Lepisosteus oculatus: one gene and its partners. The protein of the gene in region 4 purifies or fractionates together with the protein of the main gene of each other region. This does not show direct contact. Links are inferred from orthologs where the notes say so. Each region holds a gene or a part of one and is shown on either strand. Other genes may lie near its edges. The genes, in order: sgta, hsf2, dnajb4 and bag2.

Region 1 (7,058 bases), on a different chromosome or scaffold from region 4:
ATCAGAAAAAGAGTGCAGCTGTATTTTACGTAAAACTCAATTGCAGGCGATCAATTGCAATCCTGCTCCTGGAGAGCCTCAAACCAGTACATTTTACAGCTCAATCTTAAACCACCAATTTCAAAAGAGTATGAACAATTAAATGGCAATCAGTTAAGTAGGCTATTTGTCAAATTATTTAACAATCATTTGGGATGAAATGTGAGTGTCCTCCAGCCCCGAGGGCCAGAGTATTTTAAATTGAAGCAATCACTAGCTTAAGTCATTAATAATTTACAGGTACTGTTTCCAAACGCCAGAGACAGTTTGTAAGTCTGGCTGGACCGGGGCTCTCCTGGACTAGGGTAGTCTGTACAGCAGGACGAGTTACAATCCAAAGTGGAGATGACACCTGTCACGTGTGACCCTGTCCCAGCTTCTCTTGGCATGGCCAATCATGTGCCACCCCCAAGTGGCACCTTCTCACACTGTAACCAGAACTGAAAACACCTGTCTGTGACAGCCTCGTCTCCACCAGCACTCACAAGAGCCCAGGAGCAAAAGGCTCCCAGTGAAAGCAGATTCAGCACAGAGGAGGGCACTGTCCTGTAATGCTGAAAACAGTGCTGGCTATTGATGTCTACTTATTGCAAAGTAATTATTGCACTTATTGCCATTTCCACTGGGAATGTGCTGCTGTAAGCAAAGGTCACTAAAATTCTGCTACAGCCTAAAATGAAAACTGAATGTCAGTACCGGTTTATGAAATTGTCGTCTTACCTTCCAGGCTTTCCTGTGCATCTGAAGATAAGTCCCCCGAGTTGAGCTGGTCATGGAGAAACTGAATGATGGAGAATGCGATACGCTTTGTGTCTGCCATTTGGTAGCTGAGGGGGTAGGCTGGGGCAGTAGGTAAGGTTTCTGGAGATTCTGGAAAGGAACGGTCATGTTTAAACGTTTGAGAAGAATAGGGCTTCAAGTCCCCAATGAGTGTTTTTAGGAAGGCAGATAACCCAGAGAGCATCAACTGACCCAGCTGTATCAAGGACACCTGCACAGCTCAGGAGGTTACCCCTGTGATAAATGGAGAAGTCTTGCTCTCTCAGTTCTCTTACAGATCTGTCTTTCATGTGCCAATAGCCCTGTGAGCTCAATCAACTCCACTGCTCCACTCTTTCCAATTAACAGGTGTCTCAGTCATTATGGTTGTGGCACCATTTGATAAATACGCACACAAAAAGAAGCAAGTCTAAATATAAAGATTACTACTGCTCTTCATTTAGCTACTGCTGTTGGACTCTAAGGTGATTCCTAAACTTGCAATAAGGTATTACAACCCCACATTCTTCTGGAGAAACTGAATCCATTAACTTCTGCATTACACTATTTGATTAAATGGGAAGCCTCCCCACTCTCACTTAAAGCACCCGATCCAGTGTAGAAAGTGATATTCAGTGGGGACAGGTCATCAGTTATCAGGTTAAAAATAACGACCAGCAGGAGGAGTATGCTGCAGATGCTTGGTGCCTATGTGCAAGCCAGCCGTGCTGCAAATTGTACAAAAACAAAGAGCCTTTAAAATAAACAGGGCATTGACTTGGCGTTACCACACACCAACTTTATCATTTGCATTACAATTTTTTTTTGTCTATTGACGCATACCGTGCTATGCACATTTTGTGCGCGACCGCTTATTCTGGAGTTGATATTATCCAATTAACTCCTCCAGAAACAGCACAGTTCCTCGCAGATGAATGGGAGCATGAGTAAACAAGGAGCAAACCAGCCCGGGCCAGGTTCAGGAGACCAGAACTGTGGCTCAGAGTGACCCCCCCACCCTTCAAGAACAGGCCTGCTCTCGCGTCTAGAAATGAAGACCACGACGGAGCAGCTGTGGATCGTCAGCAGCAAAGCACGGCAGCTCGCACTAACATTCCTTATGTAAATCCTCCTAATATGCGTATGAAATAAAATGGCAGACTATTCACACTGCTGGCGAAAATGAATTTCTTTTTATCAATAGCTTGCACTGGACGTAGCAATACACGAAGTAACGTGTTTTATTTGGGGACCTTCATACCAGCAACCTACTTTTGCTTTTCGGATCTGGCATGTTCCGGAAAAAGGTGACTCACGTGTTATGTCACGGTAGGTGAACGTGTACGCGCTGAGCTGATCTAATAGGTCGTCCCAAGCTTTCACGTACCTAGTACACACAGACAGCCTGTGGCTGGATTATAATACACTGCACTTGAAAATGGCATAATTAACTTTACTATTGATTAATCGTAACCGCACCCTGTGAAGCAACTTCAAACACTGAATACTGACCCAAACCTACACTGAGTACACTCAGTAAGGCCGCTCTTGACTCCCAATTCTGCAGATCTGTGTCCCCGAACCTGTGCATCATATGAGACTACTGCTGTACGAAAACTGTCTCGTAAAACTACAGAACAGACAAATTCTCAACAAGTCCCCGGCGACCGCAGTTGTCAGTCTGCCCAGTTCTTTAAATCCGTACTTTTTTTTAATCGATGAAAGAGTTCTGCCCGGCGCCGAGCGAGCGATCAGAGGAGACTACGCGCTTGTGCCGAGTGAATCCGACCGGGCGGTCTGATGATCTAGCCGAACCAGAGACGCCGTCCTTCCCACCTGTCTGACCAAACCTCGGCCGGCTGTGAGTTTTGTCAAACAGAAGATTCCAGCACTGCCGCCGCTCCTCCGTGCGGCCTTACCGTAAATCTGGGACAACGCAGCGTACAGCAAAACTGGCCGCTTCGCTGATGACGCCGCCGCTACCAACCCCCTTTCTGCAAGGTGCCCCCAGAGCCCCTGCGATCGCTGTCTGCCGGAGGGAGGGGGGGGCTGCCCCGCTCGGGGCAACGGCGTTTACCGTGCGGGTTTTAATGAAAACGGCAGCAAGAAAAGTTGGGTCTCACCTCCCGGTTCCGGCTCTCCGCAGTTTCCTCGCGCTGCGCTGCGTGACGGCCGTCTGCGTCCTCTGACGTCACGCGTCGGACGTGCCTACACCCCCCCCCCCCCCAGAACGATTATATTCGAACAAATAGATGTTTTCGGCAAAACAAAAAACAGAAAGCATGTGGCGCGGGTGTGTGACTGTATTAAATAATTGCTAGTTTTTAATTATGTTTTAGTTTCTTTATTGATTTCGCTGGGTATTTTTTTTCACCTTGTCCCACAACAGTTAAAGTGCCTTTGCCGTGGAATCGCGAAACAGAGGCCATCGGGGTCGACCATTCAGAGTCGCCGCTGACGTGTGCTGTTATTTTTGTTTGCCGTAACCTGCAACCGAGGCTCAGGGCGACCCGCCGCACTGTTGTGAAATTAATTCAACAGACGGGACAGTCAGGAGTCTGGGACGGAAGTACCGTTAATAAAACAACGCCCCCCGAAGCGGAAGCGACCGCCGGTTTCCAGGGGAACGAGTGATTGACAGGATGGCCAGCCAACCACCGAGTTTCTGCTGCTCAGCCCGGTAGTAGCGTGGTTCAGTGTGAGCAGACACCATTCTGACCCGGAGCTCTTCAGCAGAGTATTTGCAGGGCGAATTTACTTCATCCTTGTGTACTATGGCCCCGACAGGTGAGTTATTAAACCTTTTTTTTTGTCAACCTACGTCCCCATAAGTACCCACAGTTTAAATTTCTTTGATGAGCTCCTCTCATTTGCAAGATGAATTGCTTTTTGTATACTGGGTGCTGCTCAGAAATCGGACCGTACTATGTTACTTTACGGGGGGTTACGTAATTAAAACGTTAAAATGTATTTTTTTTTATGGAGTGCAGTTTTTCTTCAAATAACTTCAATATTTTCCACTGAAAAGTCCGGCAAAGGCGGCGTGTGTCTAGCTGGGATAACGTGCTCAATCATTTGCTCTCGCAAAGTGCAGTCGTGAACTTGAGGGCACCCCTCCCAGACACAGTCTGTTTACACGAGTTTCACTGCGGGCAGTCCCAGCTCCCCGCTCTCCCGAGCAGATAAGTGGGAATCGCGTTTAGGTATTTGATTACAGGAGTAACACGGGAGTCAACTTGAGGAGGCAAGCTATAGGTTCGAGTAGTTGGTAGATTTCCTTCTTTTCGAGGTGGATTTGTTTTGAAAGAAGAATTTCCCAAAACTTCAGTCCGTGGTCGTGGATGAAACTCGCTTGCCCCCCTAATCGTCGGCTCGAGTAATCTTTTCGCGGATGTCACTGTGTCAGTGTATCTGTCAGTGTCAGGTGGACGTGATTTAAGAGTGGTGATTTAGGTGACACTCCTAACCTAAGCTACGAAGAAGCTCTACACAGATTGTCTTGCAAAAAAGGGACCCATATATTCAATTGCATCAGTCACGTCTTTTTCTGTAGCCACCTGCACTACAGTACAGTATAACAAAATTATATCCAGAAAGGAGTTACTCGAAAAACTGACATTCAGTAGATCTGAAACTCCGTTTGCTTATGTAGTGTTTGAAACTATTAAACATTTTCCATAATTGCAAAAACAGATAATAATTAATAAGTGTTATTTTGAACAGTTAAAAACACCACCTGTATAATGTCCCTCTAAGAGAGTTCAGGCATGTTCTTTGTTTTGAAAGGAATTTCTCTGGGTGTCAGTCAGTCAGCATATTCCTCTCCGGTCACACAAAGGGACATGTGCTGTGGGTGGTTATCATTGGGCTTTTGGAGTGCCCTCTGTAAACCTCTCCTGGCACTAAGAAAAGTTTAATTTAAGCTACTGTTGATGGTTAAATATGGTTCTCCAGTAGCCTGAGCTTGTGAACAAAACATTTAGCAATCGTGTTTTAACGTTGTCTCACAAAAGAGATGACGGGTTGTTAGCCAACCTGTAGACTTCAGCATCTCACACAACTTCAGGGCTGTTTGGTTTGGTGAGGATTGATTGGCTACATTACCCACGTCACACTTCTTCATTTCTGGTAAGCATCATGGATCAGGAGCACATCGCAGACATGAGCCACTGCATGTCACCCTGTACAATTTCAGTGCCACAGCTTTAATTGTTTTGTTTTCCAGAATTTCCTGAAAGTTTTAATATTTTTTTCTGCATAAAAAGGAGTTGTGTTGTGTGCTTTTAAATTTTGTCTCGTGCGATTTTTGTCATTGGGGGCCACAGCCTTTGCCCATTTAGCCCATCCAGAAGTGGTTTTCTTGCCCTGCAGTAGCCACACACACGCTAGTGCTGTGAACAGTACTCATCATTCTAAGCAGCTGCAGTTGGAGTTTGTAACTGTTCTGTTGGAACAGGTCAAAGGTCATATCAAAGGTGACACACCATGCCCCCATAATAAACCCGGAGTCCATCAGACAAAGGTACAGTTGTGCAGGTTTCAGCATTTTACTGTACAAATAAAACACATCAGCAGGTTATCAAAAGACACGGGATGATTACTGGTGCACTGTCTATTTGGCTGCAGAAGAGTGGGGGAGCAAGAGTTTATCATCGAGCACATGTTCGGACGTATCCGAGCCCAAGAAACAACCATGACAGTCAGGAGTCTGAAATACTTCTTGAAGCGAGGACCACGCCGGTACACTGCTCTGCTCCGCCTAGCCGGAGCGAATTGTTTTGTCACAGCTGGTAGGCAAGAAGGGGAAACACTGTAACCCCCCCCAGTGCCCCTGTCCGCAAGCGTCCTGCTGCCCTGACGTTGTCCTGACCCGGCGTTAGCCAGCGCGGTGCAGGGCCTGACCCATCCCCCGCCCCCTCGGCAGGTGAGGTCGTGATCGCCAGCGCCCCGCGGGTCTGCGCCGAGAACCGCCTGCGCTGGGACCTGAGCCCCGAGCAGATCCGGCAGCTGGCCGACGAGCTGATCGAGAGGACCAAGCGCGTGTACGACGCCGTGGGGGCTCTGGAGCTGGAGGCCGTCACCTACGACAACGCCCTGAAAGCGCTGGCCGACGTGGAGGTGGAGTACACAGGTAAGGACGCGTCCTGCTGCGTTTCCGCTCGTGGCGGCACACGGACACGTGGGCTGGTTTTCCGATCAGAACGTGAGCTCACCTCTTCGGTCCTGGAGAGCCACGCTTCGGCCGGTTTCGAGAAACAGTTGGAATCATGCCTCCCTGAGCCAATAACGGATTCAGTTAGGCCACTAATTGGTCTTTAAAAATGAAAATCCGTGTGTCTCTAAAGCTGTGTGCTCACTCCAGGTCCAGATACCAGGATATCCGGATAAGGGATTTGGAAAGGGAATTGTAAGCTGGTGTTGTTAACTCTTGAAGGTTCCTCACGTGAATCTAAACAGAAGGAACAGATGATGACCTAGGATCTGAACAACCTAAAAGGAGTAAACAAATCTCATGCCATTTGGTATAAAATTCCTTAAAAATACCTTCACTCTTACAAGTGCTGAGAAAAACCAACTACGTCTTGCTGAAGTAGGTTAGTTTCCTGCCCATGACTGTTTTAAAGTGTATTAAATGTATGCTGTCATGACATGCAGTAATTACAAGCACTGAAGTCATAAATGTCAGTAAAAGGGATAAATGGCATCAGATTTCTAAAATCTGTTTGCAGATTTCTTTAGCGACTTTACTTGACTAAAATAAAAACGCTCGTTTGCATAAGCAGATAAGTCCAGATAAGCCCACAGCAACATCACTTAACACACAGGCCACTACAGAGCCTTTGTTAAAGGCCTGAGCTGGCAGGAATGCAGCAGGCAATGGTATAGAGTGCTCAGCATTTTCTACATAAAGAGTAGCTGACACTTTGCCTGTGTTTGACAACAAATTGTATATAGGTATTGTTAAAGGAACTGGGAAGTATATACATTTTTTTCTGAGGTTTTGATTGTTTGGAGGCCTGGCGTAAATCTGTTGTTGGGGGGGGGGGGGGAGAATCTCCTTTGTCCGAGTGCTGACATTCCCCTTTTTTGTTAGGTTATTCCTGCTGAAAAGAGAAGACAGGAAACGAAACACTCCACAGCCAAAACGTGTTTCCTATCTTCTCTTTTCAAATAAACCTTTACTTGTTCCTTTGTGGTTTATTATGCATGAAGTCTTTATTTGTCCAATTAGCCTGAAGGTGGTGTCCTAAGGATTGAAC
Region 2 (6,973 bases), on a different chromosome or scaffold from region 4:
AGTGGTCATTCTGTTACCTTTTCAGTGTTGAGAGTCTCGAATCAAGACTTTCTTGTTTGCCATGAACACTCTGAACGTTGGACAGGATCTTAGAGAGGTCTTCGTGACGTATTTTATTTTCCTCAGGCCTGGCTGACGAAACCTACAAAAAGAAAAAAAATCACAACTTTAAGATAAAACTAAGTTAACTGAAGTTCACTCAACAATTCTAATGCTCTTCCTGCTTTACATACATTTGCTTCAATTTGCAGGTATGGATTGTGAATGACCTTTTAGAATGGTATCCATTCACAAATAAACCTCTGGTGGATTTGGCCATATCTGAGGAACACAAGAAAACTGTTAGATTACTTAGAGGGGACAAATGAAGTTTTGCCTGAAAATAATTAAAATTAAACAGGAGCTATGGGCTACATAAGCAGAACCTTAATTGGATTTTGTACTTAGCAAAGACTAAAGTTAATTACAAACAAAAGTAGGCCATTTGATTCTAAAGGTGGCAGGGTGTAAAATTAGAAACCCATCGTGCACATTATTTCAATTTTCTTAAAGCAGTTTTGAGCTTTGTGAGGCTATTTTCTCACATTTTAAGGCAATAAGTTCAAAGTGTAAGCCCTTGTTCTTACCTTTCTTTTGATGTTTTCTAGCAGGTCATCCTGCCCATGTTTGAAGAATGGATGCTGGAATTCAACTGGTCCATCACGTTCTTGTTTTACGATGCCAGTGTCCATGTGCATTACCTTGCGAAATCCATCTGCAAGACAGTTTGTCCTCTTTAAAAGCCCTCTGCACTGACATAAAATGCAATATTTTAGCTCTCTTTAACATAATTGATTATTTTCTGACCTATGAATCTAATTTAACATGTTTTTAATCCTGGTTCACATTTATTTCCTCTTTTTTTTCCCCATTGCTCTCCAGAAATCTTTATTAAAATCATGTAGATATTTTTGAATTTTTAAAACCCTCTTGATATGTATGATATGCATGTATGATAGTGCAAAAAAATACCCCTCAAATCACTCACTCAATTCAAAACCCCCAACTAAAGCAAAATTAACTACATAAATAAAAGTTTAAATAATACATGTTTTGAAAATAATTGATGAATATTAAAACAGATCTTTTTCCAGAACTGTGACTTGACATAATTCCTCAGATAATACAGGGTACTCAACAATCCCCATGCATCTTGATATCCTTCAGCCATATGCTTTCCCTCTTCGACAGCCTCAAGTAATGATGTCCGTATTGGTTTTCCATAACTGGACATGGGTTCTTGACTTTCACTCCGAGACAAACACTGAGGAAGCCAGGTCTCCAGATCTGCTACTTTGTTGCTCCTTCCATCCTACTCTGAAGGGGTTTCAGTTCCCCTGCTCTTTACTTTTAACAAAAAAAACACTATTTTCACTTCTGGTTTGCCTATTCCCTTTTGCTTTTACTCATTTTTCTCCCCCAACTTCCAGCATTAAGGTACAGGCTGGCTCACAGGTGCCCGGGCAATTCCTAGAGGCATTGTGAGCACGAGCAAGCTGAGAATTACCCAGGTCATGTCAAACCCATGAGCCTGCTGGGGTCCAGTCATGTGCCCCCCTGGCAATGAAACTCAGAGGTGTGTCTGTGAACCGGACTAAAGGACTCAACTTGTACGCCTAGGGAGCAGGTTGCGGTCAGTGCACGTTCCCCAAAAAGGCCAACTCTGACAGAGATGCCAGCAGCGTAAAATGGCATTTGAGGGGGGAGCTGTGTCAGCATGTGCTGCTGCAAAGGAACAAATAAAGGAGGAACATTTCAGCCTTCTTCACGACATACTGTACACAATCATGCTTTCAGCAGCGGGTTACATCTCAGCAAAGAAATCATTATGAATTAACTCCTAAATGTCTACGAACCTGAAGAAGTGTGGGTTGATCCTTTCTACTTTCAGCCTGGAATTACTTGTTCCTTGAGTGACCTCATGATTTGTTTACATGTACAGTGCACATACTCACAGGGAATACTTTACTTGTCTAATTCTGTCTCCCACACCCGAAGAAGGCCCCACGGCTGAAACGTTGTTTTCTTTCTTTTCAGCAGGGAATAAGCCTGTTACTTGTTCCTTTGCAGCCCACGCATGCCGACACAGCTCCCCACCTGAACTAATTCCAGTATTGACAACCTAACGTAAGAAAAACATCTGTGACCGTGAAAAGTACTTACACATGTTGAGCTGCCTGACGAAACTTGCCATATTGTTATGCTTGAAGAATTTGGGGAGAATCTCTTTGGCAAATCGCTGTTCATCCAGCACAAGAAAGCTGTTACCTTCCTTTAAAACAAACAAGAAAGTCCATGCTTACTTTAACGAAAATCTGGTCAGAAAGATGATGGATTACAAAAATCACATTGCCGTGGGGAAGCAGTTTTCATGCATCAAGTTCCCACAGAGCTTAAAAATATTTTTACACTTCATTCAAAATCAAATGCCAAAATACACCTTGAACAGCTAAACTGCAGATTACATCAGCCCATCATAAGAAAATATCCTATGCATGTCTTGAAGTGTATTAACTACCATGATTTGACATCATGTATCCATGGCATTTTATTTCTCCGAGTTTACATTAATCCATATTCAGAATGCAGGCGCACACACTTTCCCAGAGCATGAGCAGCTGCAGCTATATTACCGATGGCACCGAGCAGCTTCTAGAAAAGGAGACCCTCATTCTCTACGCTAGTGCCCCAAAACACACAGGTGTTTTTTTTCCCCCACCGTGTAATTCCTTACATATAAACCTTTGATGCTCTCGTCCGCCGAAGTCCTGCAAGAGACTGGGGGGTCAAGAGGCAAGGACAGACTTCTCCAAGCTGAATTTGAGGCAATAGCAAGGGTAGGTGTTCTAGTGTGGCGCACACACCCCATCAGGAAGCTGGCTGTGGAGGGTACATTTATGGTCCAAACACTTCCAATCAAATTTAAGATGTTGCATCAAACCTCCCCACTCCCAGCATGCTATGCACTGAAATGAACAGAAATAAATCCGCTCTTTAATTCTTCGGAGGTCAGCTCAGGGAACAAGAACAGCCTGCTTGCATTCCTGTCCAACGTAGCGCTGCTCAACTCGGCAACAAACGTCACCCACTTCCCTCCTGAACGCAGACCCGCTCCTCCCCCGGCGGCTGCAGGGTGAGCTACCTCCCCGAGCCAGCGGGACCGGTACCGGTACCGCTCCGGCCCGGCACCACAGAGCGCCCCCGCGCCTTCATCATGGGGCCCCCTATCTGACCTCCCGGCCAACTGCCACATTGAGCTCGGCCCTTCGCCTCGAGTGGCAAAGCAGCCGGCAGCGCTTGCTCGGAGCACGGCGCCGCGGGCCTTCGCAGAACAGCCACGTAACGCGGTCGCCTTGGAAACGGCGCGGAGGATACAAGAGCCGGCCGTCCCTCGGGAAACAGCGAGAGGTCCGAGGCCGAACCGAAGCCGCCTCATTACGTTTTTTTCTTTCTTTTCGACTGCGACCAGTTTAGACCGGGCTCCCTCCAGCCCCCTGCTCCCCCGCTCAGTCTCTCTCTCTCTGTCAGGCTGCCCAGACGGACGCGGGCCCGGACTCACCTGGCTCCAGCAGATGAACTCGTTCGTGTCCGGGTCCTCGACCAGGGTCCACAGCTTGGTGAGGAAGGCGGGGACGCTGGAGTTCTGCTTCATGGTGCGGGCGGACGAGGGGAGCGCAGCGCTGCTTCCGAGCACAGGGCTCAAGCGAGTACTCCGGGCCCGCAGCGGAGGGGGGAGGGGAGAAAACCCCGAGCACAGCTTCCGGCCCGAACCGCGGCTGCCGATTGGTGCCCCGGCTACCTTACGTAAGGCTCCTCACGTGTAACAACAATGCGCTCTGCGCGGCCGGCCAGCACAGCCAATGGCGCGGCGCGTTTGCGAGCCTCACGTGTCGGAGGGAGGGGCCTGCCCCGCGGCCGCTTGCTGATTGGATAAAGAAGGCAGGTGGTGTTGATGACGCAGGCGGAGGCACGCGAGCCTGCTGTCTGTGTGTGCAGAGTGCTGCTGCATTGTGGGTCACAGCACTGCCGAGACAGCCGGGTAGTGTTTCTCCTGCCCTGGTGGGACTGACTGCTTCCACACACAGACCTCAGCGTCTAGTGAAGGCGGACTCCGGCTAGCGGGGTTTTGTTTTTAATTTGGCAAACACCTCAGACCGTGGTGATTTAAAGTACGGGTGGGGTGCATCAATGTCAATTACACAGCTATGGAAGTTAAGAAAGGTAATCGTGTTTAAATGAATACTGTCCTTGCAATGAAAATATTACACATGTGTAAGGCATATCACACCTGAAGAAGGCTCCGCAGCCGAAACGTCATGTGTCTTTGCTATTTCTTTCAGCATGGAATAAACCTTTACCTGTTCAAATGTAAAACTACTGTAGACTACTTATTTTGTAATACATCAAAATGTCTAGACCGTTTCTAAAGCGAGCAGTAATGCAGTAGCATGTTTAGGGACTACAGAAAAACGTAGTTTCTAGTGCAGACCAAGCGTTTAGAAAACAATCCCAATTATGATGACTTTTCCTGGTGAGAAGTTGATTTTATTTTTATACTTCACCGAAAACAGCATAAGTGGGTCTGAGATGATGCTACAAGGCTTTGTGATTCAGTTTGACAGTTAAATGTTTTATTCAGACTTTCGTGTCTTTCCATCTGAAGAGCCTAAAGCATTGATGCAGATTTATGAAGAGGCTCACAAGTCGAGCGTAAGTGTAATAGTAACCACTTCCCATAAAACCTGAAATCCCCGCAAAAGTCTCAGAGGTAAGAGTGTGAGATGACTGATGCCTGTCAGCACTATATCCAATATCACACCGGTGGAACTTGTGGACTTCAGGTCACCTGCAACGATGACAGGGGAAGTTAAACAGCATTGTGTCGACATTGGTCTTAGGACCTTAATGATGTGAAGTATTCATGCCCAACACCCTCAATGTTAGAAAATATGGTGTTATGGATGTAAGATACCTTTCTCTTTTTAGTACACATGAAAAATATTGATAACTCACAAACATTTCCATGTAATGCATTGCTTTGAAACTGTGTTTTAACAATGATCTGCAGCATAGGCCGATTCCGCTGACATTTTCTGTCACTTATTGTCTATGACTTACAGTCTCTGGAGTTGAGGCAGTATAATGCTAACTGTGGTTTTATGGAAATAGAAAATGCTAGGCTACAGTATATGAGTGGTATGGGATACCAAAGTAATTCTGGAAAGCTTCAAAAGATAGTAATATTTAGAAAATAAAATATAGGAAATTAACTTGTAGAATGAACACATATACAATCTCATATGGAAGATAGTTGTCTAGAGTAACGACTGCATTTTCAGAAGGGATTTAATAGTTTTGTGTTCTACAAATATAGAAATGTGTATCTTAACAGTGGGAATCCAAAATGCACTTTGGACTTTGTGAGCTGCACCAGAAGGCCCTGGTGTACTGATACCAACTACACATCCTGCTAGTACTATAGCATGCAAAAAGAGAAGTGGTGGTTATTGGAGACTTCATTCTCAGGAGCACTGCAGCTGGGATATACAGTACTGCGCAGCAGGAACACCGAGCAAAGGCAGGTGAGCTTGCAGCTGTTGTTGTCAGTGTTTGGATTGTCGAGATCGGTACCAACAGCACACTTTCCGTTCACAGCCAATTCAAACACCTGCTGTCGGAAACAGACTGAAGAACTGAAGTCTGACTTGGACATAAGTGTTGTTCCTGATACCTGTAAGGGTGTGGAAGAAGAATCAGAAACAAGGCAAGAGGATCCTAAGAGATACTGTGGTCAACGTGGGGTTACAAAAGGTAGATCTTCCTTAAGTACTTTGTTGGAGTACTTGAGAGGAGCAACAACAATAATGGACACATACATACTGTAGCATACTGTCTGATGTTGCATACCACATTCCAGGTTTCTTTTGGCTTCCAATAAAGCTGACTATAAAAGATTACTTCTGGAATTGCAGGGAGTAAACATTCAAAGTAATGTGTGTGTTTGGACTAAGTGTGTATATATTTGCATTTTAATAAAATATCACCCTGCAACTCACAACTGGCAGCCCACTGAAGCTCAGCAGGTGTGAGCCTGGTCAGTACCTGGATGGGAGACCTCCTGGGAAAAACTAAGGTTGCTGCTGGAAGAGGTGTTAGTGGGGTCAGTAGGGGGCGCTCACCCTGCGGCTCATGTGGGTCCTAATGCTCCAGTACAGTGAAGGGGACACTATACTGTAAACAGGCGCCGTCCTTCGGATGAGACGTAAAACCGAGGTCCTGACTCTCTGTGGTCATTAAAAATCCCAGGGCGCTTCTCGAAAAGAGTAGGGGTGTAACCCCGGTGTCCTGGCCAAATTTCCCCCCTGGCCTTTACCCCATCATGGCCTCCTAATAATCCCCCTCTATGAATTGGCTACATTACTCTGCTCTCCTCCCCACTGAGAGCTGATGTGTGGTGAGCGTTCTGGCGCACTATGGCTGCCGTCGCATCATCCAGGTGGGGCTGCACATTGGTGGTGGTGGAGGGGATCCCCATTACCTGTAAAGCGCTTTGAGTGGAGTGTCCAAAAAAGCGCTATATAAGTGTAAGCAATTATTATAATTATTATTATTATTATATATATATATTTCTCTGTGCCAGAACACACAGTATAACAGATTAAATATCGAATGTACAGAAAACAGATTGTTTGAGAGAATACTTGAGTTGAGGTGATGGATTTCCATACTGGGTCACTGGTTTGAAATTTCAGCTCCAGAGGGAAGAGACATACTGGTCCACAGACAACACTTACAAACACTTCAAAACAACAGCAAGAGGTTTCTCAGTCCAGTGCTGGCCAGGTTCAGCCTTGCTGAGCTTCTGAGATGTGACAAGAGCATGCTGCGTTGGTGGTAATGCTTTAAATTTAATGTTTAAGAGAGACCAAAAATC
Region 3 (7,299 bases), on a different chromosome or scaffold from region 4:
GGTGGTGCCTCGGTCGCTCCGCGGGGCGGTGCTCCGAGCGGTGCACGGCCAACCGGGTGTGGGGCACTTCGGCGGTAAAAAAACCCTGCAGCGTCTCCGAGGCCATTTTTATTGGGGTCTTTGCCACCGGGACGTGGATCGGTACTGCCGAACGTGTGCGGTGTGCGTGGCGCAGAAGGGTCCCCCCGAGCGCTCTCGGGCCCCCCTCCAACAACACCAGGTGGGGGCTCCTATGGAGCGGGTGGGAGTGGACGTTTTGGGCCCGTTTCCGCGCACCGAGGCCGGGAACCGCTACGTCTTGGTGGCTATGGATTACTTTACGAAGTGGCCGGAGGCCTACGCCCTCCCGGACCAGAGTGCCCCCACGGTGGCCGATGCACTGCTGGAGGGGATGTTTGCCAGGCTGGGGGTGCCGGAGGAGTTACACAGTGACCAGGGGCGTAACTTCGAGTCCCAGGTCTTCGCCAGAGTGTGCCAGCGCCTGGGGATTACTAAGACGCGGACCACCCCGCTGCATCCCCAGAGCGACGGGTTGGTAGAGCGGTTTAATCGGACGCTCGCCACCCAGCTGGCCACCCTGGTGTCCCGGCACCAACGGGACTGGGACCGCCACCTCCCCCTTGCGCTCTGGGCGTATCGGACCGCGGTCCAGGAATCCACCGGGTGCACCCCGGCCTCGCTCATGCTGGGCCGGGAAATGCGAACACCGGTGGACCTGGTCTTCGGCCTGCCGCCCGGAGACGGGTCGGCACCGCCGGCTGGACCGGACTACGAGTGGGACCTGCGGCAGCGGATGCAGCGGGTGCACAGCTTTGCACGGACCCACCTGACACAGGCGGGGGTCCGGCAGAAGCGGTACTACGACCTGCGCTGCAGGGGGCCTGCCTTCCAGCCCGGGGACTCGGTTTGGGTGTACAACCCGCGGCGCCGCAAAGGCCTCAGTCCTAAGCTGGCGCCGTCGTGGGAGGGGCCCGCTGAGGTACTCGGGGTGGTGGGCGAGGTCTGCTACCGTGTCCGGTTGCGAACACGGGGGAGAGTGGTGGTCCTGCACCGAGACCGCCTGGCCCCCTACCGGGCCCGGGAGGAGGAGCCGTGTGGGGAGGCTCCAGAGGAGCAGCCGGGGCCGGAGCCGGCCGATAGTGGGGCGTCCGTGGATCGCCAGCCGTCACCGCGGCGCAGCGGCCGCTCACGCAGGGTTCCGCAGCAGTTGGCCGAATACGAGTACAGCCTGAGGGGGGTGTTCGACGTCGGCGAGACGCCAGACGCTTCAGGTGGGGGCAGTGTAACGCCCTCGCCTGGTGGTGAGGAGGAAGCGCCCCTAGGCGCTCGTAGTACCGCTGGGCATGCTGGGAGTGGTAGCCGGGAAGAGTCTGAGGGTCAGCACGATGACCAGCGGCTGACCCTGCCTGTGTAAATAATGTCCTAGTAATTCTAGTGCCCTGTGTAGTCCTGTAAAAGTAGAGTGTGTTGTTAGGTAATTACCACCCTAAATGTGTGTACGTGTTCGTCAGACTCCTCATGTTTGTGTAGATCCTGTGTTTGGTTTTGGTGTGGTTGTAAAATAAAGCCAGTGCTTGGTTAATCGCGTCTCCACTGTTCTTTAGTTCTGAGAAAGAACCTGCAATACGCTACAAAAGAAACATTAAAATAAAGAAACATTAAACCTCGCTGCAGTGAGCCACCAATTCTTTCATCACCTGCCGGGAGTGGCTGAAGACTTACTTTACTCCCAGAACACACTTCTGACCCTGGGAGGTAAAGACGCTCAAGTACTTCTACGATAAGAAGGCAAGTCGGGTATACTGTATATTACTGGACACAAGAGGAACACCAGTACGCGGGGAACAGTCTTTGGGGGGTGACGATGGAGATCTGGGAGCTACTGTCCTCCTATCTCGGACTTTATTCTGATTGATGGTCTTCGCCAGTACAAGGGGGGGAAACTACCCTCTTTCCCAGAGAAGACGAGACGCGTTTCCCCCAGATCCGAGAGAGCGGCGGCGAGATGTATGATCCAGCTACGCAAACCGCTACAGCTTTCCGCTCGGCCACCAGCAGCAGCACCAGCCAGCAAGCTCCAACATAACACCCCCGAAATAAACAGCCTGTGGGTCCCATTCCAGGGACCCCGGCCAGTTGTGTCCTTTTACTGTTGCTAAACAGGGTGGGATACACGCTCTGATCCTTCGGGATCATTCTACGACGTTCTCCTGACAGGATATTTTATTGCCGTGTTGTGCCTCCCCCCTTGAAAAACGGCAAAACCACATTAAATTGAAAAAAAAGCCGGTTTTCCTCCTGCTGTTGGCGAAGTGCGGTTTAATCAATGTTTCCGCTCTGCGGCGTTTTATCTTGTGCGGCTCAAATCAAGGGAAACGGACAGGCTTGGATGTAAAAGGAGAAACAAAACCCCCCCAAAAAAACTCCGAAAGTATTTCTAATCCTGAAATGCAATTAAAACGATCCGGTAACAACAAACCACACCGAAACGGGGAGGGAGTTGCGTTGGCAACATCTCCACATACGAGATATTTATATATATATAACCTCACCTTCTTCGCCAAACTGGTCGTAGATCTCTCTCTTCTTGGGGTCGCTAAGGACCTCGTACGCCTCCGCGATTTCCTTGAATTTCTCCTCCGCGTTCGCGGCCGTGTTTTTATCGGGGTGCCATTTCAGGGCTTGTTTGCGGTACGCCTTCTTGACGTCCTCGTCCGATGCCCCCCTCTGGATCCCCAAGATCTTGTAGTAGTCCTTCCCCATTTTCCGCGCAGCCCGGGAGCCCGCGATATCCTAAGGATATAAACCCGCTTTATAGCAGCCGCTGGCAGGCAGAGAGCGGTGGTGGACAGCAGATGCTAGCCGGGTGCTGCCGCTCTTGAAATCGGGGATATTCACTCTCCTCCAAGCCCTGTTTGTGTCTGTACAGCTTATTGCTTCGATACTTATGCCCTTGTGTTTGCTGGTGCGTCTCTCTCTCTCTCTCGGCGTGCTCCTTTAAATAGCCGCGTCTCTCTCCCCTATTGGTACTCGCCGGAACCCAGTGGCTCTTTCTAGAAAGTAGTAAGTGCTGATCATTGCACGTCATTTCCCATATAAAGCTTACTTTTTTAGAAAAGTCGTTCGCAGGGAGAAAAAATAAATTGATGTAGGCTATCCGAAGTTTTTTTTTTCTCTCCTTTAGGCAAAGGTTAGATTATTTCATCGTTTTGATTGACGGGTTTACCTGAACTCGAAACGCCGAAAGAAACGTTGACAAAGGCCCTCAGTGAACATGGGGGTTTGTAGGATCTCCCCTCGTTTGTGTGGGTCTCCCCCTGCAGTCCAAAACGTACTGGTCCCAGTCCCAGTCCAGCCTCCGACATGCTTAAAAGCTCCAGGGTCTGAGCGGTGGACCGCCATACGTCTGGAAACACCGGAGACTCATGTGAGGTTTTTGATGAAATAAACAACGGATCTGTTCAATTAAGAGAAAGGCACTCAGATTATGGTCCCCGATGACATAATTTAACACATCATATGCCCAGGTGATCCCAATGACACGGATCTTTAGCTATAGGTGATTTAAAGGTGGAGCCTTTCTACAGTAGCACAGTCCAGTCACAGAGGATATAAGTAAGATATTTGCACAGGTACAGTCTTAGGTGTCCCCGATCTCAAAAGATCAATCTACCCTTTGTGTAATCCGCCAATGAGCTGCTGAAAGGAAAAATCATTTAACGCATTCTTTAGGTTACTCAAGAGTGCCTACTCAGTCATGAGGTGGATGTGTAAACCCTGTATCTGGTGGGCTCACCTTTCCCATCCATATGTTAAAATGACAGCACCCCTAACAGGTAACTCAAGCCCACAACAGATTCTTCAACGCTGTGAAAATGTGCACTCTAAGCTTCTCTGACGGTGTCAAAGGTAGTCATGATCCCATCTTGACATCTGTATTTTAATTCCTGGTAACTGTTCCTCTCGTGAGCAGCAACCTAGGCTCAACATCATCACTCAGCAGCACGGCCAGCACGATTGACCATTTCATCTCCTCCACTGACATCGGCCCTGGATGTGTGGTTTCATTCGGGAAACAGCGAGTTTTGTTTTATTTTTCACTTCATTAAAAAAACAATCATGGATGAAGTTTTACAGTTACTACGGTACATGCATCCCAACATTTAAAAAAAAAACGCAAATTCTACATTTGTGGGTGAGTGATATATAGATTTTATGTGTTGCGTCCTAACATCATATCCTAACTTTATCTTAATAATAATAATAATAATAATAACAATAATAATAATAGTAAACTTTATTTTATAAAGCGCCTTTTAAGGTGGCTTCTCAAAGCGCTTTACAGGATGACAACAACAATAAATAAGAAGAATACACAAGATACAACACAGTTACAATATAGAGAGGAGACCGTGGATGGTGGTACTAGGAAAAGCAGAGGGGTGAAGAATGGAACCAGTTCAGTAAAGGCTTTTCTGAAGAAGAGGGTTTTAAACTAGGTCAACGTTTCTTCACATCCATAAGCTCTGCTGTTCTAAAAAAAAAACATATTATGTTTTGCAATTGCGACCTACTACTAAACGCAATGTTGTCTCGTTTGAACGCAATAAACATTTGTTTCCTCCATGGCGCTAACAGGCTTCCGTAGCCGGCCCTCACCTGGGAGACTCACCAGCAGGCTGCCCGGGACCTTCCCCAGTTCTCCACACAGTGCCCCCTGCCGTCCGATCGGGGCAAGAGCACTCGGTATTCACAGGGATCGCGTTGACTGAGCTGGACCTGGCTGCGGCACTGAAGACGAAAAATTGCTATTCAGCCTCTCCGAAGATGACTCAGCATCCGTCACCCAAAGGGTACGCTACACCTGCGCGATGAACAATAATTTTAATTTTTAATTTGCACGCCTTTTGCTACTCAGCATCTCGAGTGTTATGATGAGACATATCTCTAATGATAACTGTTATTTCCTTTGCGAAGCACGCAGCAGTTCCGCAGCCTGTTCCTTCGACTAGATGCCAATAGCGATGGTTTCATCGCCGTAGATGAGCTCCGCAAAGAAATGAAGAAAATCGGAGTTTCGGCCGCAGAGGAGAAGGCTCAGGTATGAATTGCTGAATGCCGACCTTGACACACGGTATTTTCCTGCCAGGTGTGAAGGTTAATCCCATGTCGTGTCTGCGCTTTTTAAATTGTGCCATTCCAGGCTATCCTAGGCGACTATGACCTGAATAACGACGGGCGTTTAGATTACGAGGAGTTCCTGACCTACATGATGGACAGGGAGAAGAAATGGAAAATAAACTTTCAAGTCCTTGACAAAAACAACTGCGGTGAGTTGGTGACGTTTGAACGATTCTGTACAGGTTGTGCAAAAGTGAAGAAAGTGTAATTTGCCGGCGGGGGGTTGGAGTTAAAATTGTTGGTGCTTTAGTCAAAACCAGAGGGGCACAACTGCAGTCCAGATCTCTTTAAACGTCCATCTGTCCATTTTCTAACCACTTCATCCAATTCTGGGTTCCTGGAGAGCCAGGGCATATCCCAGCAAGCTACTTAATTAAATATCAATCATCATGTATCTCGCCATCCGTCAATACAGTTGTGTTATTTCCTGCTGCAGTGGGATCTGGTATTTATTACCCCTTCGTCCTAGAAAAAAAAAAGACCCTTTCCAAAGGACACAGTTCGTTCCAAGGGCAAACAGCAAAAGGAAGATTTCTGTCTTGAGATTTTTGCTCAACTGTTTTGTATTCATATTCATTTCTTCTCTGTGACTAGGGGTCATTGACCAGGAAGATATCATAGATTTGTTTAAGGAGTTAGGAGTGGTCATTTCAAAGCAACATGCAAAGAAAATAATACAAATGTAAGATCTGTTGCCACTTTTTAATATTTGACTGCTATAAAAGATTTATTGCCTTTGATCCATCAGTTACGAAGCATAGAACACATGTTTGGTGCTAAAGGCGTCTTTTGTGTTACAAAAATTCTCCTGTATGCACATAAAACCTGGGGAAAAATATGTTTCATAAAGCTTATGTAATATTGTAATGCTATTGTAATGCCATAATCAATGTCTATGGAAATGTAAACATAATACAGCAATTACAGCACATAACCGAACACCTTAATGACATATAATATAGTTTATATAATAAATAAAGTTTAAACGTACAGTTACAGTAGTTGCCATAGCAGAATAAAACAATATATTTTATGTGCATAGTGCCACAGAATAAACGCTTTTAATAAACAACAACCTGTAGTCATGTAGTAGCAACACTTGAGGAGATTTCCTTCATGGTTTCTCATGGTTTCTCATAGGATGGACTGTGACAACTCCATGACAGTGGACTGGAATGAATTTCTGCAGCACATCATTTTAAACCCCGCTGAGGACATTGCAGAGCTTGTTTCTTCTTGGAAGCGCAGCATGGTAAGGGCTACATTGTGAAGCACCTTGTTCCTAATCGCAAAGGAAGTCAGTGTAGTCTTACTTTGCCTAATTATACTGTACATACAGTATATAGTGTATATGCAAGTGGACTGTGAAAACTGCACTGTGGAGCAATTCAGTTTGGCATACAGTACATACAAACACAGCCATGGACGAGCTTCTATCCTGCCATGAACAAAGAAGGTATTCACCAGAGGTATGACAACAGACATGCAGAGAACTCTATATCCTAGGACCCATCCTCTGTGGGACTGCTGCTCTTGTTAGTATCTCATGTGTACTGTCACTGGAATGTGTTTTTAGTTCAGTATACACTGTATCTTCACCAAATGTGATTGGTTCACCTCGTCCATTTTTCCTCATCAATTTGTCTCCACAGGCAAAAATAACTTCATAAGCATTCTGAATGCAGTCCAGTAGTCTTCTTGTGTCATGTCCCACCCTGCTGTCCCTTTGTGCCTCCTGCTGCCACAGTTGTTCCCCTCCCACAGGCCAGAGATCCCGAGTCTCCAGGATAGAGATGGACTGCGATGGCTGACGTATGTAAAATCTCGTGCCGTGTCAACAGGTGTTCGACGTGGGAGAAAGCCGGCCTCTGCCCATGGACTTCACACGGGAGGAGACAGACTCTGGAGCCTGGAAGAAGTACATTTTAGCTGGAGGAATAGCAGACGCGGTGTCCAGGACCGTCACTGCGCCAATCGATCGAATAAAAATTCAGCTTCAGGTAATTGAGTGCGATGCCTTTCAGTGCACGCACACAGATGCGCTGCATTGAGCTGCAGTGACGCACCGTGTGTTTTTCTTGTTGCGTGGGGTGTACTGAATTAGTTGACAGGCCAGTG
Region 4 (6,826 bases):
CTTAGATCAATTATTAACAAAGACAAGAATTGATTTAACATCAAAACAAGGAGTTGTTTAATAGTTTTTAAGACTTCAGAATGAAAATGTGAGAGTCTTCTAAGAGTAGAGATAAATTTGCAAGTCAATTTCCTAAATTGATCAATAGCTCCAGGGCTGTGACTTTTCTGGAACAGAGTTGGCCAACCCTGATACAAACTAAAAATGCAGACAGCATTTGTTTTTGCTATACAGTTTACCCGTTTTATTGTTGTTAATTATATACTTAAATAAGTACAAACTAGCATTATGAGTCCGTAAATGCTTGTATTGAAAGTGGGTTCCAGTGATGATGTGCTGTTTTTAACTGAGTGTTCCCACAGCAAACCTCTAGTACAGAACTGAGAAATAGACACCAGAAACAATGTCCTCTTGCATGTGGTTGACTGAAACAACAGGGTTCTGTGTGTGTGCTGAGGAGAATGATCTGCCATTGTCACCTTTGCACCGAAGAGGCAGATTAATATGAGATATTCTTATTTGGGGGGTTTACCCAATTTAATTTGATTTTCCACCTGTTTCTTTGTCCCCCAGCTGTGCATTTGGATCAGACTTGAAAGCCATCCTTACACTGAATGTATAGATACTTGGAATGCAGAGCAGGGCTAAAATTAGCTCTTGTCTGTATCATCTCTGCCATCCAGCAGGCTTTGTAAAGTTAGGGATCCCTGTGACAGTTAAAGGGACAGCAGGCTGCTCTTGCAGGGCGCAGAGCTGTTGGGGTGTCCGCTGTGTAAGTGTGTTCGAGGTAGTGAGTGCTGGAGGGCTGGGTGTGATACAGGGTACTAGGGAGAGAGTAGGGGCTGTCTGGACAGCAGGCTCTCGGTGCCCTGAAGAGACTTGGGGTGGGAGAGACGGAGTTCTGAGCGCTGCAGGCTCTGTGTGCGAGACCCAGCCTGGTTGAAGAGCAAGCGAGCTGTAGGCCCCAAGCTCGTGTGTCACCAGGGTCACTGTGAACGAGGGGCTCGGTGACGTCAGGCCGTGGTTGTGGTGGAGTCTGTCGGCCAGTGTGAGCAGCGCTCTCGGAGGACAGTGCGTGTATACGTGTGGAAGAGGTTCCCCAGCAAGCTCAAAGAGGCGTGTCTGGAGCATGGGACACACCAGTCCAAGCTCAAGTGGTGGCCCCTACCCCTGCGGTGTCACACCATGAAGATCTAACTGCATTTTAGGTGTAAAACATACAAGACTAGAACCACTAGGGGGGTTAACACACACTTTTTAACAAACCTGAAAGAGACACCAGGACCAGAATCAGACACCTGCCTGAGACCATTACAAACCTGACACTCAGCTGACTTTAAAAAATAATTTTCATCATCATGTCGGTAATGCTTTTTTTGTTTACAGTGAGTAATAGATTTTAGGCTTTTGCTTTTTTTTCCACCTGTTTGTTGATATGAGTTTATTTGAGTTAAGGGATTTTCCTGTCTTCAGTTTTGAGGTTAAAATGGTTGTTTTCCCCTGTACTCTGTGTAATGGTCACAAAAGCAAGAACATTGAGACCAAACGATTTCTTTCTATTAAAGCATTGTTTTTGTATTTTGTTCTAAAATAAATAAGTAAAACACAATGTATAAATGTTAATTGTTTTATGTTTGTTTTATTCTATATTCATTCTATTATTTTAAAAAAACATAAATTACACCTGGATTTGGACATGATTTTTGCTTGAAAATCGGAATCTCTGATTAGAATCCATCAGAACAGGGTGAAGCCAAGCTGCAGTGTGTCAGCATACTAGCATTTCTGTATTTGTGGCAGAATATGGTAGTAAGGTGGTTCCTGATCTGTTCTGACTGGTGGATTTACATTCTCAGTGCAGACACTGTTGTAGCAAGCAGATTGCTGCAGCCCACCCAGCTGTAGAAAGCGTGGAGTCTCATCCAGGGAGACTCTTGAACTCAGCCAAAACGAGCTTCAGTACTTAGGAATGTAAAATGAAAGATCAGTTTCAATAGATATTGCAAGCTTTGTTTTCCCAAGTTGTACAGTATAGTAGTGACCATATTAGCCACTTGACATCTGACTTTGATTTGAAAAAAAGAAATGCACATTCAGTTTACTTGCTCTGTTTCAGTTGTTGCTCACAGGTTTGCCGAGTCCATTATGATTTTCAAGTGTATTATGCTCTATTGCTAAATTCATTTTTATCCCTTATCTCTGCAGAGCTCGAAGAAGCTATCACTAGAAGCCTTCAGGAGTTCTGATCCAAAGATGACTTTTAAGTGATCTTTTTTTTTCCCCCATGAACCTGAATAATGTTTAAACTGGTAATACTGGTTCCTGTTTAAAAAAAAAAAGCAAAGCAATGTGTGTTTATTATTATTTGATGACTCTTAAGTTGGAATGTTAATAATTAAAGTCAGCATTATTCAATAAAAATACAAATCTATTATTAAGGTTAAGCATGTTTTATTATTGAGCAAATATTTTATTTTTTCCAGGTATAAAGCGTATAAATGTGTAAATTTAGATGAAGATCGATTTCCTGAAGATGGTTTTCCCGCTATTTTTAGTTTTTCTTAGTTAAGAAGAATCAATTTGATTTTTAAAAATAAAAGCACATAGAGCCCGCCTCATGTCTGTGCAGTGGTGGTGGTAAAGACTGCACACTTCCTCGAAGTGCACAGTGGGAAGACGCTCCGCTCTCCTCACACTTGGAGTCTGAAAATGCCTACAGGAGGGCTGGTATCATGCCTGACAGCTCCCTGCCAGCCCGCTGTTCCACTGTGGGCAGAGGATGCCTTAGCTGCCTGCACACTCACCCAGTTTAGCCCTGAACCAGTTGTGTGCCACTGTCTGGGGAAACTGGCTCACAATCGTCAGACATCGCTTGGACTGCAACCCGCAGTGTCTGAACTGACAGACTCCACCTGTGCTGGTGCACCTGTACGGTTTGGGCCTCTCAGGAGTGGGAGCAGTGATTAAATACAAATACTCTTCCTCTGGGTGTAGGACTTTTAACAGCACAGGACATTTTTCAAAAGGTAGCCTTTAACTCTGTTTGCTTAATACATTAATTTTTAATACTTTACACACCTGCAGGCAAAAAAAACCCCAAATCTTTTCTGTAAAATGAATAATGACAGATCGTATTCAGAAGATGACGGGGGAATAAAATCTTATCCTTGTCATTCTTCATTGAGGTTGTATTGGCGCTATAACATGAACAGGCTGTTTTTAATTCATATATTTAGGTCTGTGAGCAGTATGTCCTGTTTTTTTTTATATAATGCAGGTTGGGAATGTGTGGAAGCAAGCATGCTAATTCCAGATAAAGTACTGCGGGTTCATTAATAGCCTGTGTGCACTTTGTGCATAAAGGAACCAAGTGCAAGTTAAACAGGTTCAGAGACGTGTTCTGCTTCTGCCGTCATCTCTATATGCGTACATATATTAGTAGAGTGCAGTGCCCGATGAAATCTGAAAGAAACGAAGGTGAAGCTGGAAGAAATATAAAAAATCTAGTTTTTCTCCCTACTGTATGTTGGCATGCTGTAGTGTGATTTAACGGCACAGAATGAGGTACGACAAAGCGCAGAAAATGTGAACATTAAAGCCATTACATGAGTGATGTATTACATTAAAGTGTAACATGAGGAAATTGGTTATGTTAAAATCACCATGTAATTGTCATGAAAAATATAACGGGTTTCTCCTGTCTATTTAGCCTGTGGTCTGACGGGGGCGCTATAGTATCATACTGGGCTAGCCTGTGAGCACCGATACCGCAGGAGGTTAATGTCAGTGTCGTTCCGCTTTAATATGTATGCCTGTTTTTCAAAGGCGGCCGTTCCATAAATGGTCAAAATAGGATATTTCCAATTCATAGAGAGTCATGGTCGTTCGTCTGCGCTTGATTGAAATGATCCACGACAAGACACACGGGCAACTTGGCTACAATGTACCGAGGCTACAAAGGGCGCAGTCTGTGATACCCCGTGGAAAACTGGGGCTGTGCAGGGTTGAGACCGGCTGAGATGTCGGGGTCAGTGGATTGTGCTGGAGCCCCCCGCCCTGCGCCGAGCGCTCGGCCTGCTCCCCGGGAGAGGGCGGCGGGGAAGGTCCGGCCCATGTTTGGAAATGTTGACATACGGGCGCCGCCTGCGAGCGGCGAGCTGCAAGCGAAACTGCTAGAAGGTGCCCCTAGAGGGAAGATCGGAGAGCAGTGGGTTAAGGAGCTGCGACTCTCCCGGGGAATCGGCATTTCCAGGCACCATGGCTCAAGCTAAGATCCTCGCCAAAATGAATGAAAGTGAGAGGAACAGCAAGTTCAGCAGATCCTTGTCCATGGCGGATCGATCGGGACAACTGCTTGAGAGCCTGGATCAGCTAGAGCTCAGGTAATGTTTGGGGTGGGAGAGGTTTTAGAAAACTTTAAACATTTTTAAAAGTTTTAAATGAAAAGAACAGCGGCCGAAGTTCGCTCGTCTTGACTGGATTGTATTTCAGTTTTTTTTAGAGCCGCTTTCTTGTGTTCGTGGGCTCTGGCACCTTGTTTCCAAGACCGCATTCTTGTCCTGTCGCTTAGTCTCGTCTTCAGAGATACATTGTATCTGAAAACAACGGCACACTTTGTTGTTTTGAAGCTCGTTTGCAAATATTTCAATTTTTGTATTGTATGAAAAACAGGTGGACAAGGGGGGGTCGACTCCCACGTGCCGTCTTGGGAAATTAAAAATAGCCCCTTTTGGGGATTCTCGGGGCTGCTGCGCTTCAGCGCAATCCACTTCACACTTTCATACGAAAACCTGCTGTTCGTCAACACTGCCTTGTGATTTTACTGCTCGGAACATTTAACTTATTGGCTGTTTAAATCCTAGACCTGTCCGTTTCTTCCAAACAGCTGCAGTTCAACACGTACCGTACAGTAGGTTCACATTCCTCACATGAGTGTCATTTTACAAGGAGATTACAGAACCGCAGGATGTATTTCTTTGGAAATGTAGTTCACGTGTTTTCTGATTTTTGTCCAGAACATTTTGAGGCAGAGATAATTGTCCTGGATCTAGCTGTACACTACGTATAAATATTTTTACACCACTTGGCAGTTGATATATTTGTACATAATGATCCTACTTTACTTAAATTTGAAACAAATTCTTAACTGCAACAAGAATATAACCATCTGGTTTCCTCAGGCATATCCAATATTCACAACCTAAGTTTGTTCTGTAATATAATAGCATTGTTTAAATAGGCCGATCTCAAATGGAAAAAATGCAAACCCATTGGTGTAGTTTTTCAGCATTAAATGTAAAATGTGTTACTAAGGCCAGTCGATTCTTTCATGAAGTAAAACAGACTAAACATTGTTGTCTTCTGTCAGAGTGGAAGCTTTACGAGAGGCAGCGACTGCGATGGAGCAGGAGAAGGAAAGTTTGCTGGAAATGATTCAGTCTGTGAAGAACAGCCAGGAGATGCGAACCATCAGTGATGGTGAGTGAGAGGAGTGTCACACTGTAGGTCACGGACAGCTGTCACACAGGTGAAGACTGACAAGGTCTGTGAAAACCGTGGATCTTATTTCCTGCGCCCTTTCCATGTGCAGCATACATAGTCTGGAGCAGGGTTTCTTTAACCTCGTTTGGCTACAAGACATCCTGCTCAAGCAGTCTCTCAGATGCCCCAATTTAGATATAACATCAAGCCGAAGTCTGTGATTAGTTTTCAAAGAAATCTACTATTTGTTAAAATATTGCAGGCAGATCTACATGTCAACAGATCCACTGTGCTATCAGAGCAGATCCACTTTTTTAAGAACATCGATTTTTCATGTACTGTAGATACATATATATATTCTCTTTGATTGTGGGGTCCTCTTAGACCCTAGTTAAACCCATCCATTGCAGTCTGGTAAAATCCGATGATCAAAAATGTTCATTTGAACCGACAGCAGTGCAATAGGGTGCGAGATAAAGGAACTGTCTTTGTAGCTTCCAGATTTAATAATTCCCCTGTTTAAATAGGAACAAAGAATATCACACACTGAATAGACAGTTTCCTGCTGAAAAAAGTAAAGAAAAGTCATTTTTAGTGATATTTGTAACAAGATACAATCAACAATTATTTCTTATGATGTTTGTTGTTCCGTTTTCAACAGAGGAATGAATAAATCAGGAGGGCACAGTTTTAGTGAATTCAGCCTAGAATCAGTCAATCAGTGAAGCTGTCCATTGTGTACCTCGGATCTTGTTTGTGCTGCACACACCGTGTCTTCATTCTAGAGACCCCTTTTTCCCATTTTCAGGGGAACGGGAGGAGCTGACGTTGACCGCAGACCGCCTGCTTGGTCGAACCCTGACTGTCGAGGTTTCCGTGGAAACCATCCGTAACCCCCAGCAGCAGGAAGCTCTGAGGAAGGCGACGTCTGAGATTGATGAGATCGCCTCCAAAGTTCTGGATGACTTGGACGGTGCCAGAAAGCGCCTGATGTCTCTGCATGCAGCCTGTATCACTGAGGCACCCCTGGGTCCTGTGGATCAGAAGTTCCAGACCATAGTCATCAGCTGTGCCTTGGAGGACCAGAAGAAAATCAAGAGAAGGCTGGAGACTCTGATCCGAAATGTGGACAACACAGGAAAAACCATAAGGATTATGGATCAGCAGAAAGTCGACCTTCCAAAAACCTCAAATGGCAACTAAACCTGCCTGTGCTATTGTTACTGTAGAGCTAACATAACGACTATTATACACTCACTAATCTATAAGAGTTTAACATAACACTCTCCTGAAGAATTAAGATTTCATAGCATGATGGCATCATATACATTCCACTGAGCATAAG

What was found.
Region 1: the proteins of bag2 (region 4) and sgta purify together in Homo sapiens (affinity purification with mass spectrometry; 3 studies listed by BioGRID and IntAct, with this or other methods). This does not show direct contact. The link is inferred for Lepisosteus oculatus from reciprocal best matches to the Homo sapiens genes BAG2 and SGTA.
Region 2: the proteins of bag2 (region 4) and hsf2 purify together in Homo sapiens (affinity purification with mass spectrometry; 4 studies listed by BioGRID and IntAct, with this or other methods). This does not show direct contact. The link is inferred for Lepisosteus oculatus from reciprocal best matches to the Homo sapiens genes BAG2 and HSF2.
Region 3: the proteins of bag2 (region 4) and dnajb4 purify together in Homo sapiens (affinity purification with mass spectrometry; 4 studies listed by BioGRID and IntAct, with this or other methods). This does not show direct contact. The link is inferred for Lepisosteus oculatus from reciprocal best matches to the Homo sapiens genes BAG2 and DNAJB4.

The regions. Positions count from the first base shown.
Region 1 is NC_090724.1:1,363,261-1,370,318, forward strand, and holds the start of sgta (small glutamine-rich tetratricopeptide repeat-containing protein alpha), read right to left. Parts: upstream 3,007-7,058; 5' UTR 2,922-3,006; intron 2,898-2,921; exon of another isoform or gene 2,718-2,897; intron 2,658-2,717; exon of another isoform or gene 2,504-2,657; intron 910-2,503; 5' UTR 860-909; coding exon 760-859; intron 1-759. Other genes in the region: thop1 (thimet oligopeptidase), read left to right, coding at 3,573-3,585, 5,723-5,929. UniProt on the Homo sapiens protein: Co-chaperone that binds misfolded and hydrophobic patches-containing client proteins in the cytosol. Mediates their targeting to the endoplasmic reticulum but also regulates their sorting to the proteasome when targeting fails.
Region 2 is NC_090697.1:1,720,946-1,727,918, reverse strand, and holds the start of hsf2 (heat shock factor protein 2), read right to left. Parts: upstream 3,020-6,973; 5' UTR 2,909-3,019; coding exon 2,774-2,908; intron 2,312-2,773; coding exon 2,203-2,311; intron 755-2,202; coding exon 627-754; intron 143-626; coding exon 18-142; intron 1-17. UniProt on the Homo sapiens protein: DNA-binding protein that specifically binds heat shock promoter elements (HSE) and activates transcription. In higher eukaryotes, HSF is unable to bind to the HSE unless the cells are heat shocked.
Region 3 is NC_090704.1:3,705,843-3,713,141, forward strand, and holds the start of dnajb4 (dnaJ homolog subfamily B member 4), read right to left. Parts: upstream 3,023-7,299; 5' UTR 2,764-3,022; coding exon 2,553-2,763; intron 1-2,552. Other genes in the region: slc25a24l (solute carrier family 25 member 24, like), read left to right, coding at 4,828-4,853, 4,978-5,101, 5,204-5,330, 5,776-5,863, 6,322-6,433, 7,023-7,181. UniProt on the Homo sapiens protein: Probable chaperone. Stimulates ATP hydrolysis and the folding of unfolded proteins mediated by HSPA1A/B (in vitro).
Region 4 is NC_090712.1:19,975,834-19,982,659, forward strand, and holds the start of bag2 (BAG family molecular chaperone regulator 2), read left to right. Parts: upstream 1-3,801; 5' UTR 3,802-4,257; coding exon 4,258-4,382; intron 4,383-5,368; coding exon 5,369-5,478; intron 5,479-6,289; coding exon 6,290-6,684; 3' UTR 6,685-6,826. Other genes in the region: E3 SUMO-protein ligase ZNF451, read left to right, coding at 2,206-2,246. UniProt on the Homo sapiens protein: Co-chaperone for HSP70 and HSC70 chaperone proteins. Acts as a nucleotide-exchange factor (NEF) promoting the release of ADP from the HSP70 and HSC70 proteins thereby triggering client/substrate protein release.